2 linked regions of the Tamandua tetradactyla genome follow. The protein of the gene in region 2 purifies or fractionates together with the protein of the main gene of each other region. This does not show direct contact. Links are inferred from orthologs where the notes say so. Each region holds a gene or a part of one and is shown on either strand. Other genes may lie near its edges.

The links. The genes of interacting proteins can lie anywhere in the genome.
Region 1: the proteins of GNG8 (region 2) and GNB5 purify together in Homo sapiens (co-immunoprecipitation; 3 studies listed by BioGRID and IntAct, with this or other methods). This does not show direct contact. The link is inferred for Tamandua tetradactyla from reciprocal best matches to the Homo sapiens genes GNG8 and GNB5.

What each region holds. Positions count from the first base shown.
Region 1 is NC_135340.1:67,016,961-67,025,147, reverse strand, and holds the start of GNB5 (guanine nucleotide-binding protein subunit beta-5), read left to right. Parts: upstream 1-5,031; 5' UTR 5,032-5,158; coding exon 5,159-5,270; intron 5,271-8,187. UniProt on the Homo sapiens protein: Enhances GTPase-activating protein (GAP) activity of regulator of G protein signaling (RGS) proteins, such as RGS7 and RGS9, hence involved in the termination of the signaling initiated by the G protein coupled receptors (GPCRs) by accelerating the GTP hydrolysis on the G-alpha subunits, thereby promoting their inactivation.
Region 2 is NC_135342.1:14,562,479-14,570,690, reverse strand, and holds the start of GNG8 (guanine nucleotide-binding protein G(I)/G(S)/G(O) subunit gamma-8), read right to left. Parts: upstream 3,017-8,212; 5' UTR 2,958-3,016; intron 1-2,957. UniProt on the Homo sapiens protein: Guanine nucleotide-binding proteins (G proteins) are involved as a modulator or transducer in various transmembrane signaling systems.

The DNA.
Region 1 (8,187 bases), on a different chromosome or scaffold from region 2:
AAGGGTTAGACTATGGACATATCTTTTTGGGTGACACAAGTCAAAGTTCAGAGAAGCCATGCAACTAGTCTCAGTGGTGAGGGAGGGCAGGTTCTGGTCAGCCAGAGCCCACACCCTTGGCCACTAGATGTTCTTGCCACTAGAATGGTCTTCCTAATATGCCAGTCTATTATGTCCCTCCACACAAGGTGGCCAAAAGAACTAAATGAGTTAATACATACAGTGCTTAAAACAGCGCCTGGCGCTTCATAAGCACCATGCAAGGGTAATTGCGGTGGCAGTATTTTTCATGCCTATCTTTCTAATTGCATCTCCCACCACCTGCTCACAGACAGTTCAGGTTCCAGCCATGCTGGTGGGGCCCCCAGATGCTGCAGCCGCCTGCACACCCCACCTCTCCACCCACAATGCATATCCCTCTCCTCATCCTCCCCCCTCCCGGTTCTCCCTACCCCTCACCTGTGAGCTCTACCTCAGGACTCAGCTCCAGGGCAGCTCTCCCAGAGATTTCTCTTGACAGGCAGGCAGAGTCGGGGTCTCCCTCTTTGGGCTTGGCAGGGCTGCCCGAGCCCCAGCACCTATCTGTTGGGGGCAAACCTCACCCACTAAGCCTGTGCAGGGACCGTGAGTTTTGGGCTTTCAACTATTTGGCCCCGCAGGGCACCAACACACTCATTTTATGGCTTTGGCTGGAGTCAGGCTCCACCTGTTTTTCCTCTTAAAGTGCACCCTGAGGGGAGGATTGTGTTTTTTAGGAAGTTTTAAATTATAGTGCCCATTACAACTGGGTTTTCCATGGTGACATCCCACAGGATTTATATTGTCCTGCAATGACCCATTGTGATCGCTGCCAAAATGAGTTAAACTTAACCACAACAAATTCAGAAATCCTATTGTCTGACTGGTTTCTCACTGATTAAATAAATGAGGTGGTGTTGACCCAGCATGTTGTAATAAACCAAAGGTTATAAATTAACTGCATTTACTTTATCCCATGTGTAGAGGTCTGAGCAACTACCATGATAAAAGAAGATGAGGCTTTAGAAAGCTGCTCCTATTGGCTTTTCACACCCTTGTCCTTTTTCTTTTCAGCCTCATCTTGGGTAAAACATGTGTGATCAAACCTTCCTGGTTAATGTATTTGGCTCGTGTGACAAATGTTTCAAACAAAGAGCTCTGAGACCAGTGTTCAAGAAATCTCAGCAACTCAACTACTGTTCTACGTGTGCAGAAATAGTAAGTGATACCTTATTATTTTATTTATTTAAGTAGTTAACCTGTCTTAAAATGATGTCTAGGATGAGGGTTCTATGACAGAGGAGTTGCCATAGAATCTGATTTAAACGACACAAACATTTCTAGCATCCCCAGGCTTTGTGAGGCAGTGTAGCATAGGGGTTTAGGGTATGGGCTCTGGTTTGTCTGACTTCCTGGGTTCAAATCCCAGTTATGTTCCTCAAAGGTGGTGTGCCCACTGGTTCTTACCTCTCTCGTTGTGTCTATATTCCCATCTGTAAAATAGCATCTATCTCTAGGATTTTGTGAGGATCAAATGAGTTATTTTGATAAAGTGTTTTAAATAGTACCCAGCAACCAAGCTAAAAGGGACTCTGGCAATTAAACTTCCTGGGAGCACTTTTAAGGGCCCTGTCCTATTAAAAGAAGATTCTATTGAAGATTCAACCATATAGGACCTCAGTACCAAGCAAAATTATGCTTAAGAAAAAGTACTCCTTGCCCTAAACCGTCAGTGGGGACTAGGAACTGGACACACCACTTGTAATTTTCAAAGTATCCCAAATCAAGTGCACTAGGACTCAGTCCTGTCTCAGAGGCTGTGTGCTCTCAGTAGTGCCGCTGGAGCAGAGCCCCAACCTGGTGAAACGTGGTAACGCACTCTCACCCAGAAGGCCAGTGGGAAAACCCGTATTATGAACACACTTAAAAATAAATGTCAAAGAGAGGAAAGTTGATTTTGCCATTTCATTCAACTGAAGAGGAACAAATTTATCTTCCTGGTTCCATTGTAATCCCTCACAGTGATTACATTAAAAAAGTTTATCTCATAAAGCTATAGCCCAAGTTGGCATAAAAACTTTGGTACAGAATAGTGACTCTGATGTCACTCCAGGAGTGGTATAATGGGCTACTACCAACAGCATACCTCACTTTGCAAGTTGTAAACTTGGCTCTGCAAATTATAAAGCTGAGGACATTCAGTTCCTAAAACAACCCTGCTTTCTAGTGGCCCTATCCTCCTGGGGCAGCGCTATATTAATCTAGCACTTCTGTTTTCTAAACGACCTCCTCAGTGTGGAAAAGAAAGAAACCCAGAATCCCAGTCATGGGATTCTCTATAGCACCATAGATTCTCCCCACGTCAGAGAGCCTGCTTGGAGATACTCTCCCAGGCAACTGTCACCAGCTGTGTTCACCACAAACACCTGGCAATTTCCCATAATTCAGACAGCAGGCGTTAGCTGAGGAGACATCCAAGTGACTATCAGCTGGGAGTTGGGGTGGTATAAACACAACCCCCAGTGGACCTTTTTCATGAGTGGGACCCTGCTGAAATGCAGCAGGCCTCAACACGGCTGATCTCCAGCTTCCTCAATTATAAAAAGGAAGCCGCTTTGCTAACTTTGCCTAGCTGTTAAAAAGTTACATGACCTTGTTATCTCTAGAGAGTAGACTTTCCAGATTGGAGGATGTTTGGAGTTTATTCTACAGAGAAAACCCCCAGAGGAGGGCACACACCAGTGTGGAGCTCCACCCACCCCAGGTCTTCAAATACAGGCAGACCCTAACCCAGGCACACACATCCCACTATGGGCCAAGACGTTCCAGCCCTGAAGCTGTGATGGGAGGATGTTGATTTGCCTGGGCCTTCTGAGATGTCCTTGTGAGAAGTGCACCTCCCTGCTTCTGTGGCCTACGGTCTCATTTAAATTACTTCATGCAAATTGCTCAAATGTATAAGGCAACTTGAATAATAATCAGTGCATACTGTGTGCCACAGATCGCTCTGAATGCTCTAAATATTAACTCTCTTGAGATCCCTATGAGGTAGCTGTACCCCTCCCCCTCCCATTTATAGATGAGGAAGCTGAGATACAGAGAAGTTAAGTAAATTCTTCAGTCACACAGCAAAGCCAGGATTTTCCCCTAGGCTGTCTGATCTAGAGCCTATGCACTTAATTTTTTGCCCTACAAATTCTGAAAGATCTAATATTTTGCTTTTATATATTATTTTAATTTTATATAAATATTTGCATCTATATAAATATATTTACTTTATTTTAATAAAATAGCTATATTTTTTCTTTTATTCTTTTTATTTACTTGTTATATATAGTTATACACACTTTATGTGTTCTGTTTTATACATTCGTTTAATAAACTAACATTAATTGAGCACCTACCATAATGCAGTAATTATGCTAAATGCCGAGAATAAACAATGAATAAAGCTGTATTGATGGAGAAGGGAGACTGGAACGGGCACATATTTACATCTACTTTGTATGGAGAAGTCTGCTAAGAGTGTATACTCACGCTATTTTTCTTAATTCTCATAACAGCCCTGTGGAGTAGATACTAGCCCCATTTCCCAGATAAGGACACTTAGAAGCTCAGAATCTAACTCCAAGCCAACTTTGTATAGATTATTGTAGATGACTTCCAGCTTTTCTCAGATAAAGACGGCTCAGGACAGCACGCAGGAGCTGGGTTCCCCAGAGAGGGGGTACAGAAAAGGGGTGCATCCAGGATTCTGCTTGGGCAATTTTCATTCTGGAATCTGAAACCTTGATCTGTTTTCCCATTTTGTGTGCACGCGCGCGCGCACACATACAAACACGTGTACACACACACACACACACACACACACACACACACACACGAAGTTGAGGACTGCATGAAGTCCAGAGACATATAGCTGAATGGAGTCAGACTGCTGCCTGGGTCAATACTGCCCCTGCTAATCTTTCTAGTAGTGTGACTGTGGGCAAGTTACCTAATCTTTCAGTGCCTCGCTTTTCTCATCTGTAAAATGGGGACAATAATAGAGCCCATTCAGAGTGATTATTGTGAGGATTAAATGATTTCCTCATATAAAGCACTTTAGTGCCTGTCACTGCAGAGAGATGGGGATGCTTGAGTCTGCCATAAAGTCACTGGATTCGCATCCTTGAGAGAACTGTAGCAACCCTTCATTCTAATGGAGAGGAAGCTGCTCGCAGTGATGCTTCAGATATCCCTGCGCTTGACCTCAGAAGCCGCTATGCGCCCTCTGCGCCCTGTCACCTCCCTTTGCTGCCCCCAGGCCAGAGACATGATTCCTGCATTAGGAAAGAAAAAGCAAAGCCAAGGGCGAGGCTCCTAATACCGCAGGACTCCGGGGTTGGTCGGAAGCCAGAACTAGTTTTATTTTTGCCTACTGAAATCGACAGAGGAGGAAAGTTTGGGTTGTAGGTGGGGCAGCCGAAGCTCCTCACTTGACTGGTGCTACCGAGATCAGGCCGGGTATTAGCCGCGCAGGCCAAGCTTCATTGCCCTCTTCTCTCCAGTCTGCCTTTGCAAACAGAAATCCCTGAGCCGTGTATCAAGTCCCATTGGAGGAGCGGGGGCCCTGGGGAGGGGCAGGGGGAGGTTTGTGCTGTGTCATTGGGACTCCTCAGGTTGCCCAGGAGCCAGGCAGTCGTGGGTTCGAATCCCAGCTTGTCCTCACTGTGTGTGCGTCACCTGCAAGTCACGTATCATCTCGAGCCTCAGTTTCCCCACCTATAAAATAGGCGTGGCACTGCCTGCCTCCCCACGGTGATGTGCGCACAGAGGTACCGCAGATATCGCACCAAGCACTGCGCCAGGGCGCGCGCGCAGCGGGTGGGGGGACAAAGGGTTCAGGACGCAGAGAGGGTGCAAGGCGCGGAGGAGGCGCCGGTACCCGCGGGCGAGACCCGCAGAGAAGTGGGGGGCGGCCGCAGCAGCCCGGCTCGCGGCTGACGGCGTCATCACCCGGAAGGCGGGGCCGCGCTCGGGAGAGACCCGGACTGGAGCTGCGCCCGCCGCCGCTCAGCACCCGCGGGTAGACGCGACCTCCTCCGCCGGCTCACCCCCATCCCTCTCTCTGCTTCCCTCCTGCCGCCCTCCCGAGAAGATGGCAACCGACGGGCTGCACGAGAACGAGACGCTGGCGTCGCTGAAGAGCGAGGCCGAGAGCCTCAAGGGCAAACTGGAGGAGGAGCGGGCCAAGCTGCACGACGTGGAGCGTGAGTGTGGGCCGGGCGGGACCGGGCGCGGGAGGCGGGCAGCGGGGAGCGGGGAGCGGGGAGGGGTCGCGGCAGCCGGCACACTGGCGGCCTCGCCTGATCCGGGCCGAGTAAACAGGACAGGCTTCTAGTACCGGGTGAGGGCGGCCAGGGCCTGGGGTGGGGAGCAAGGCCCGCGCCACCGCCGTGGGGTGGGGACCCCTGGGTGCCTGGACGCTCCTCTAGGGCGCATGTAGCGAGCGCCGGCCTCCCGGGCGCGGGGGTTTCGGCCCGCAGCGGAGCCGGCCCTCGCAGCGTCCCGGCACCCAGCCGAGCGTCAGCCCGCCCTCTGGCGGAGGTTGGCCCGCCCCTGGGCGGAGACGCTTGGTTGCTGCAGGCCCTGGCCGCTGTCACTCCGACGGAGGATCTTGGGACTAGTTACCCTCACCGGCCTGGAAGATGCTAAATAATTTCTGTTCTGACTTTGGGGGGGGGGTTGTGGAGGGAACGGGGGTGGGGGTGGGAGGGAACCGGTGGAAGCATGGCTCAGTGACGTCAAACACACAGAGCCGGTGTGGGTCTTGGCCTAGGATAAACTCCTGTTTCGTTTTATAATCTTTCGACTTTCTTCATCACTGTTGTCTTTTCTCAGTTTTGCTTTTTCAAGAAGCCAGACTCTGATTTAAAAGTTAATTTCTTCAACCCTCCAGCCCCCGCCCCAACCTCCTTTGGGGCTGGATGTGGGAAGACCATTAATCCGATCATTTAATTCATTAAGATTGTTTAAGAAAGTTTTTGAAAAGAGTGGTGTGATTAGCATGAAAGGACAATAGCAATCTTAATCTTAAACTTACATTATTGACCAGCACCATAATTCAGAGCCTACTCTGTGAATTTTCTGAGTGAGAATTAAATAGGTTAAATGACTCTTAGTGGGTCAGTTTCCCTTTTACTCCGTTAGATGGTTTTATCCTCAGTGGAGCTTGGGCTAAGGGCCAGGCTTGGGGGGTAGTCTTCCCTGCTTTTCAGCTCTGAGGCTGGTAGCTCTCCTTAGCTGAGCAAGGTCTCCCCACTGTCCCCTTATCACACCTATACATTGTGCTTCTCAGTGGCAGGAAGACAAAACAACTTGCCCAAGGACCCCCGCCTCCTAGTGGCGTCAGGATTCCAGCCCTGGCTCACTTCCGCTTTTTTGCTGGATCCCTTTATACTTTACACAGATGGGAGTTTTCCAGAAACTCATATACTTGTAAGTGTGAGCTGCTTGGGTGGCACTGTGCCCACTGGGGTGTTTTTCGGTCTTTTCTGTGAATTTGTCAGTTGCCACATGTGTTAGTTTGCTAGCTGCGGGAATGTGATATACCAGAACTTAATGTCTTTTTAAAAAGGGAATGTATTAAGTTGCAAGTTTATGGTTCTAAGGCCATGAAAATGTCCAAATTAAGGCAAGGCTATGAAAATGTCCAAACTGAGGTATCCAAGGAACGATACCTTGGTTCAAGAAGGCTGATGATGTTCAGGGTTTCTCTCTCAGCTGGAAAAGCACATAGTGACGTCTGCTGGCTTTTTCTCCTCGTTTCATAAAGCTTCTTCTACGGCTTCCCCAGGGCTCTGTCTGTTCTGTTGGCTCTATCGGTTCTGGTGGCTCTAAAGCTTTTTCAAAAATGGGTCCCTCTTAAAGGGCTCCACTAGCAACCCCATCTTTAATGGGTGCAGACATATCTCCATGGAAACCATCCATTCAAAAGTTACCACCCACAATTGGGTGGATCACATCTCCATGGAAACAATAAAAAAGATTCCACCTAGCAATATTAAATGAGGATTAAAGAACATTGCTTTGCTGGTGTACATAATAGCTTCAAACTGGCACACCATGAAATGGAGCTTCTGGGAGCCCCAGGGAAGTTTGGTCAGTCCAAATGAGGACACTATTGCTGTCCTCTCTACGGGTACAGTGCCCTCAGGAGCCAAGGTCAGATTTTGGATCCACAATGGAAAGGTCTACTTCCATCTGTGTTTAAGTCAGAACTTTTTTTTTAAATTAATTTAAAAATTAAAAAAAAAAATATAACAACAAACACAGTCTTATCTTATCATTATTCCGTTCTACATATGTAATCAGTAATTCACAATATCATCACATAGTTGCATATTCATCATCATGATCATTTCTTAGAACTTTTGCATCAATTTGGAAAAAGAAATAAAAAGAAAACAGAAAAAAATTCACATATACCATACCCCTTATCCCTCCCTTTCATTGATCACTAGCATTTCAATCTTTGTTCCCCCTATTATTTATTTTTATTCCATGTGTTTTACTCGTCTGTTGATAAGGTAGATAAAAGGAGTATCAGATACAAGGTTTTCACAGTCACACAATCACACTGTGAAAGCTGTATCAGTATACAGTCATCTTCAAGAAACATAGCTACTGGAACACAGCTCTACATTTTCAGGCAGCTCCCTCCAGCCTCTCCATTACATCTTGACTAACAAGGTGATATCTATTTTATGCATAAGAATAACCTCCAGGATAACTTCTGGACTCTGTTTGGAATCTCTCAACCATTGACACTTTATTTTGTCTCATTTCACCCTTCCCGCTTTTGGTCCAGAAGATTTTCTCAATCCCTTGATGCTGAGTCTCAGTTCATTCTAGGATTTCGGTCCCACATTGCCAGGAAGGTCCACACCCCTGGGAGTCATGTCCCATGTAGACAGGGGGAGGGCAGTGAGTTTGCTTGTTGTGTTGGCTGGAGAGAGAGGCCACATCTGAGCAACAGAATAGATTCTCTTGGGGGTGTAGGTCAGAACTTTTGAGTTGAAAAGTCATGTGATCCCAAAGTCACGTGGATCGGGGAAGTCATGTGATCCACCCACCCTGGATCACTGAACAGGTTCAGAGAGTTAAGTGAGTTTCCCAAAATGAGCT
Region 2 (8,212 bases):
TCCTGGTCTCTCTGTGTCTCTCTCCCAGTCTCCCCTCTGGATCTCTGTCCCTGTCTCCATACCTCTCTCTCTCTCTCTCTCTCTCACACACACACACACACACACACATTCACAAGAAAGGACAAGGTGGCCCCAAAGTGTGCCCCCCACCCTGCATTTATTCCATAGTCACGCAAATCTCTTCTGTGTGTCCCACACAGCCCCACCCTGTCACACACAGTCACATCTGTCACCTCAGTGTGACCCCAGCAGCAACACACAGACTCACACTCCCTTGCACAGAGATGTACATTTCGCTGTGCCACACAGTCCTGTGAACAACCTGCACGCAACACACTGACACAGTCTCCCATAGGGTTACAGTCACCCCCTCTCTTAGAATGCCACAGATGGCCACTCACTTTCATGTGTAATACATCATCACCAATAACCCCTCATACAACCACACAGACACACAATCTCAGAGCGTGACAAATGTACAAACACGGTTTCTTACGGTTTCTCACAATCTCTCAAAATGTCACACATATCCAGATACAATTTAAACTCCCAGGCTCACCTGTCATAGTCACACACACAATTTCTCCATGATTCACACGGTGATGTGTAATTATGCAGACAACCTCTTCCTTAGGCACTATTACAATATTTTACAATGTTACACAGCAACACACAGTCATGGTGTCAGATACAGTCTCACACAACCAGTGACTCCCACAAACAATCTCACACAATCTTCTGGGGTCATGTGCAATTCACTCACACTTTCCCTCCACACACAGTCACACACAGTCTGTCTCTGTCACACGCACAATCTGTTGGTGCCATGATCAGTCAGTATCTCACAGAATCCCTCACAATTTTACAATGTTTCTCTCACACACACACGAAACTAATCTATTGCTGAGCTTCACACTGGGTGTTTCACACAGAGGCATCACCTCACACCAGGTCTTCACCCTCACGTAGCAACCACCTCTCTTACATATAAGCACAGGCATCTGTCATGCTGTCGTCTCTAGGTGCCCGCACTTTTGCATACACTCATGCACAGTTACAATGCAATGTCTCACATGTGCTGTGCCAACCTCTCAGGATCACACACAACTTCAGAGTCCCACAGTCACACTGACCCTCACAGTCTGTAGTGGTGTCACAGTCACCATCTCTGTCACATCCACTCTCCCCCACACCTCTCACTCCGCGTTCTTACACCATCCTTGGTATATCACAGTCATTCAGTCTCTCCCCTCATGCATCGTCTGCCCATGTGACACACACCAGCTGTTATGTCCTCGCCATGTTGCACAGTTTCTCACACGTACCACTTCACAGTGATGTAAATCTCTATGTCATGTGCAGGCACACACACTGTCTCTCACATGCACTGCCACACTGAAACTCTCACTCTCACAAATGGTCTCCTGACGTCACATACAGTCACCCAAATAGTGTCTCTCGCACACCCAGTCACACACCATCTCCCGGTGACATGCACAGCCACACAATCTCTCAGTGTCACGGAGAATCTCATGGGGTCACAGGCGCACCTAATCCCACTGTGTCACACACAGTCACCTCCATGTCATCTCACATATGCAGCCACACGCTGGGTTTCTCACAGTCACACCCAATCTCTCGTCCCACATCATCTCACCCTGCCACGCAGCCTTCTGCACACAATCTTCTAGTGTCACGCAGACTCTTAACAATGTTACAGCCACACACACTCTCTGTCACACACACCTAACAGCATTACACATTCACACGGCCTCAGTGTCACACAGCCTCTCCCGGCGTCACCCACGCACACCCACGCGGCGTCTCCGGGGCTCGAGTCGCACGGGGTCTCGCGCACACACGCGGCCCTCTATCCTCCCCTGACAGCCCCCCGCCAGCCGCACGGGGGCGCCCGCGGCCCGCCCACCCGCCCGCGACAAGGTCGAGCCCCACCGGAGGGAGAAGCAGAGAAAGACACAGGGACGCAGGGAAAGAAAGAGGCCAGGAGGGATTCGGAGGCATAGAAAGGAGAAGGGAGCTGGATAGGAAGAGGGAATATCGACTGGGACCCGGAAAAACTGAGAGGGAGAGGGAGAGCGACAGAGACAGGGAGAGAACTGCAGAGAGACAGAGGTACACACGGAGGGAGCAGAGGACGCAGGAGTGCCAGATGGAAATAGAGGGTCAGAGACGGGGACAGAGAGACAGGCACACAGAGACAGCCGGGAGCCGAGAAACAAAGAGACAAGTATTCGGCACCGCCCACGGGGGCGGGAAGGGGCGGGGCCTCTGGGCGGGGCGCGTCTGGGGCGTGGCATTCGAATGGGGCGTGTCCCGGGAGGGGCGTGGTCTGGCGGGCGCGTGCTCCGAGGGGCGGGTCCTGGGGCGAGAAGCAGACGCGGCGGCGAGTTGGGGGCGCGGGACGGAGGGGGCGGAGGGGGAGGAGGGGGAGGAGGGGGAGGGGCGTCTCCGCTGCAGTCTGCCCACTTTCTAAGGCCTGGACTGGGAAGCCGGCCCGGGCCCGCAGCAGAGATTTGGTAGGGCGGGGTAGGGGGGCGGCATTGGGCCCTGGCTTCCCTCCCCCTCCTCCTCCCCCGCGGGCGCGGCAGGGCCAGGTGGGGGAGGGGACCCGGGCCCGCATCTGGAAAGCATCAGGCGCGCCGGACGTGCCAGGGCCCCGGGCCGGGCTGCGGAAGGGGGACGGGGGGCAGCGGGCCCTGTCCCCCACTGCAGAGCGGGGTCTGCCGGCGCCGGGGAGGAGCCTGGGCGTGCGCCGAGCCCCCGCACCTCCCGCAGCTGGTTTCCATCAGCAGTTCTGGCCCGGGCAGCCCGCTAGGAGGAAACCCGACTTAGAGCCCGGGGAAGATAGGGTAGTGACCCCAACCTACCCCGTTCCCTCCGCTGGGCAGCCCGAGGCTGGGGGCGGGGGAAGAAGGAAAGACAGACGCGGCCCGAACCTTTATCTCTGGGTCTCTGGCGAGTTGCGGATCTTAGCCTTCTCCCCACCCTACGGCTCACCGCAGCCCCTCAGACGTGCAATCCTGCTCTCTGCTTGCACGAGACTCGTCCCCGCCTCGTGAAAACCTAATAGTAGGTTGTATTCTCTGTCCCCATTTTTTAGAGGAGAAAACTGAGATGCGGGACTCGGATTCTGATCTGCCTTTAGTAAGTTATTAGACAAATGGGAAGTGAACGCCGACAGTGAATTCTAGAATCGGATACCCGGTTGCCTGCTGGTTATCTCCACTGGATGCATCAAGCTCAACGCGTCCAAAACTGAGCCACAGCCGCTCCTACCTCAGACTTAGCCATCTCAGTTGATGGTAAATCTTTGAGGTCATCCTGGACACACACTCCCCTCCTCTTCACCCCGCAATTGACCTAGCAACAAACCCTATTGACTCCATCTTCAAAATACCTCCAGAAGCCAGTCACTTCTCTCCTCCTTTGCCACCCCCACTTTGCTCTCAGGAGTCACCTCTCGGGACCACCACCTCTCACTTGAACTGTTGTAATCACCTCTTCTCTGGGCTCCCAGGTTCCATTTTGGCCCCCTTCAGTCTGTCCCCACCCCCAGTAGAATGTTTAAAACTGTTCCCTAAAGAGAGATCCTATTTAAAACGAGGTCCCCAGATAATAATAAGTGTTGTCGAGGATGCAGAAAAATCAGAAACCTCATACACTGCTGGTGAGAATGTAAAGTGGTGGAGCTGCTTTTGAAGTCTCAGAGTTTCTCAAAAATTTAAATATAGAGTTACCGGGTGGGCCACGGTGGCTCAGCAGGCAAGAATGCTCGCCTGCCATACCAGAGGACCCGGGTTCGATTCCCGGTGCCTGCCCATGTAGAAAAAAAAAAAAAAGATATATATATAGAGAGAGAGTTACCAAATTACCCAGCAATCCCAATCTGAGGTAGATGCCCACATATATAGAGAGGTGAAATAAGAGGAATCTGGGTACAAAAACTTGTACGCAAATGTTCATGGCATTATCCTAATAGTCATAAAATGGAAACAGTTCACTTTTTCCACGTGATGAAAGGATGAACAAAATGTGGTACATCCATACCATGGAATGATATTTAGTCAGAAACAAACAATGAAATAATTAAATTAAATAATGAAAAATAGTAATAAAAACAATGAAATATTGATACATGCTGCAACATGGGTGAACCTTAAAAACATGATGTTAAGTGAAAGAAGCCAGACATAAAAGGTCACATACTGTATGATTCCATTTACATGAAATGTCCAGAATGGGCAATTCCATAGTGACAGAAAGTAGCTTAGTGATTGCAAGGTGTTGGGAGTTGGGGAGATTAGACATAATGGATAAGGGATGCAGAGTTTCTTTTTGGAGCAATTAAAATGTTCTGGAATTGATAGTGATGGTTGTGCGACTCTATGAATATACTAAAAACCATTGAATCATATATTTTAAATGGGTAAGTGGTGTGGTATGTGAGTTATATCTCAGATGTTACAAAAAAAAAGATCCATGCAGAAACTTAAGTCCCTTCTCTGCTCAGAATTCTTCACTGGCTCCCATCTCACTCAGAGTAAAACCCCAAATCCTCATTTGGTCCCACAGGGCCCCACACGATGGGGTGGCTGTCTCCCATCTCTCACCTCACCACCTGCCACTCTCTCCCTCACTCCCTCTGCTCCAGCCACACTGGTCTCCTTGCCATTTTGCCAGCATGCCAGGCACAGTTGTGCCTCAGGGCCTTTGCACAGACTGACCCTTCTGCCTGGGATACTCTTCCTCAAGATAGCTGCAAGCTGAACTTAAATGAAGAAAGTAAAAACTAAATCCTTTACCTGGGGCACTCTAAAACAGCTTGAATAAATGGAGAGATGATAATCCTGTAGCACTGTAACTAAGGAATTAGGATTTAAGGAATGATTTTGATTACTGAATCATATTCCTTTTTGCTTTCTGGGATATTGTAGTAGACAGAGGGGAATACCTGAAATCCCTAAACTATAATTGAGCTGCCCTGATAGCTGAAATGATTGTTAAAGCCCTTTTCTGGTGACTTTGTAACTGTAAGAGCTATTATGCCCCTCATCTGGTCATTTTCTTGTTGGGCAAAGGCCCTAATGCTAATGAAGAGTTTGGAGTCAGCCATTAACTAGTTTTAGCCCTGGACATTTGTAAATCAGCTAGACTCAGCTGTTGAAAGGCAACTTGTCTCCCTTCCTTTGGATTTACACCTTTAGTATTGAAGTGATAGCTCTGCCTCCCCTCCTTTTAGCTTATGTTCTATGGAAATGATAAAGATAACACTGTCTCCTTTTCTGCTTTGAACCTGCAATTCAAAATAACCTCATCTCCCCTTGCTAAAATTCTTAAAAACCTTGAACCCCCTAAACTTGGGGAGACAGATTTTGTTCTCCTACTATGTGCCTAGTAATAAATTCTTTCTCTTTTTGGGGAAAAAAAAAAGATAGCTACAAGCTGCAAGCACCCACCTCCCTCTGGTCTCAAATGTCACCTTCTCAATCAGACCATCCGTGATCACTATACTCAAAATTACCAACACTTCTGTCCCCCAATCTGGATGCCCCCATATCCCCTTCTCAGTTTTGCCCCCATGGTCTTCATCACCCTTAACAAATAAAGAACTTAATTTATTATGTCAACATTCTCTCCTCCCCTCCGACCCCCAGTTCCTTGTGTATCCTTCTAGAGAGAATCCATCCTGCTAATAGGCTATTTAGGGTAGTGCTAAGAGCATGGACTCCGGAGAAAAGACACATGCATTTAAATGCTGGCTTTGCCATCAAGTAGCTTCAGATAAATTACTTAACCTCTCTGTGCCTCAGTTTTTCTATCTGTAAAATGGGCATCATAATAGCATCTGCCCCATGAGATTGTGAAGATTAAATGTGTTAACATATGCAAAGCGTTGAGAATAGAATCTCGCATTTAACAAGTGCCCAATTAGTGTTAGCTGTTATTTTTTAATTATTTTATTTCATTTCCTTTCTTTACAAATGAAAAGAAGTCATTAATATTTATTTATTTGACCACTGAGTCACCTACTTAGCCTTAGATAAGACCCTTGCCCTTTCTGGCCTCAGTTATACATTTTGTGGAATGGAAATGGGGCAACGATTCCCAAGGGGACTTGACAAGCAATGGCTTTTCCTAGTAAGTTTTTTTTATATATATATACATGGGCAGGCACCGGGAATCGAACCTGGGTCCTCTGGCACGGCAGGCAAGCGTTCTTGCCTGCTGAGCCACCGTGGCCCACCCCTTAGTAAACTTTTAAAAATAACTTTCATTGATTATTACTCTAAAAGAAATAAGTTTACCCCCACACACACACCTGAATGGAAGTTCCATAGGGGAGAGACTTTTTTTTTTCTATTTTGTTCCCTGCTCCATCCCCAGTACCTGGTTGGGCACTGGAGATACAGGTAAACAGGGCAGGCCCTGTCCCCACTGTCTCAGAGCTCATGTGACAGAGAGATCACCCACGCATGTTAATACAAAGGTTAAAGCAGCGACAGATACCCATTCTTTAGACTCTGGAGTCAGATCAGGTCAAGTCCTGGCCCTTTCTGTCCTTGCTGTGTGACCCTGGGCAAGTAATGGCTCCTCTCTGAGCCACCATTTACCCATCCATGAAATGAGTATAACTATTGGGCTTACCCAACAGAAAAATGGGCAAAGGATGTGAACAGGCAATTCACATAAGAGAAAACACAAGTGGGGCCAATAAACAGAAGGAAACATCAAAGAAGCAGGAAAGGAGAAGGCTTAATTAAAACTGTATTGTTCTTACCCATCAGTTTGGCAAAATGAAAATGACCAATAGCATTCGGTATTTGGTGAAGGGGTGGAAAAAGGGGGATCCAAAAATTGCTTTTGATGTGAGGATACTGTGATCTAAGGTTGTATACTTTGGATGGACTGTACAGCATGTGACTATATCTCAATAAAATTGCACTAAAGAGAAAAAAGTTAAACACACAAATTGCTTTTGTAAATGCTAATTGAGACAGCCTTAACGGGAGTAAATGTTGGAGTATCAAGTAAAAATTTTTAAATGAGCATTCTATAATGGATCCTACAGAAAAACATATATGCACAGAAAGGTTATGCCAGTATGTTCACTATAGCAAGGCATGTAATAGCCAAAAATCTCGATTGTTGACAAAATTGGATTGCTACAATGGACTCTCATGCAGCTGGTAATAATATATTGATGGGAAAATGTCATCTGAATTTAGATGAAGCGGACAATTCCTAGATGACTATAACTTAGCAAAACTGACACAAGAAGAAATAGAAAAACTATATAGTGTTATACTCATCGAAGAAAGTCAATCCTTAATGAAAATCCTTCCCACAATGAAACCACCTGCCAAAGGGAGTAAAGGCAAATGTATAGTCCAATTTACATTAATATAAATAGTTATGTATATAACACATATAGTATAACTATACATCGTTTTATATATACACATATTTATGTGGTTATTTATATTTGTATATGTATGCAAACACATAAAGAAAACCATGCAAGGATGCACATCAAACTGTTATGATAATTTCTGGGGAAGGCACTGAGATTGAAAGAGGGGATTTGGGATCTATCCCTCTATCTATGTTGTTTCCATTTTCATGATATTGTATTTATGACCAAAACATAACTCAAGCAAAATTTAGATTCATTGTAGTAAAAAGAGCCAGTGATAGGAAGATGATGTTGAGACCACCCGCAGATCTCTCTGGGGACTACCATTTCCAAAGCAAACAGTGATTGTACCATAAATTTTAGTCCAGAGGCAGAAGAGCATTTATTTCTCCCATTTCCCTAGAGAATGAGAGTCCACCACATGTGTGACACTGTGCATTTATTTACAAAGAGGCGAGAGAAACACACAGGGCTCCCCTGTGCACTGGGGAGTCACCATCGTCATAATAAATACAGTAATTAAAAAAAAATACTGGATTGGAACAGCTGAGGGTCATCCTGGGCTCCCCCTGCCCCACTCCCTCTCACAGAGACGCCCCAAGAGAGAAGCCATCCCTTTTCCCCTTTTCCACCTCCCAACAGCCCATAGTTGTCCAGAGATAGAGGTGAATGAGTCCTTTCCAGGTATTATCAACTCCTACTTGACCCTCAAAACCCCAAAGTCAGCACTTCTTCCCCTCCCAGGACACTCCGCAGGCACTACCTAGGTCAGACAGA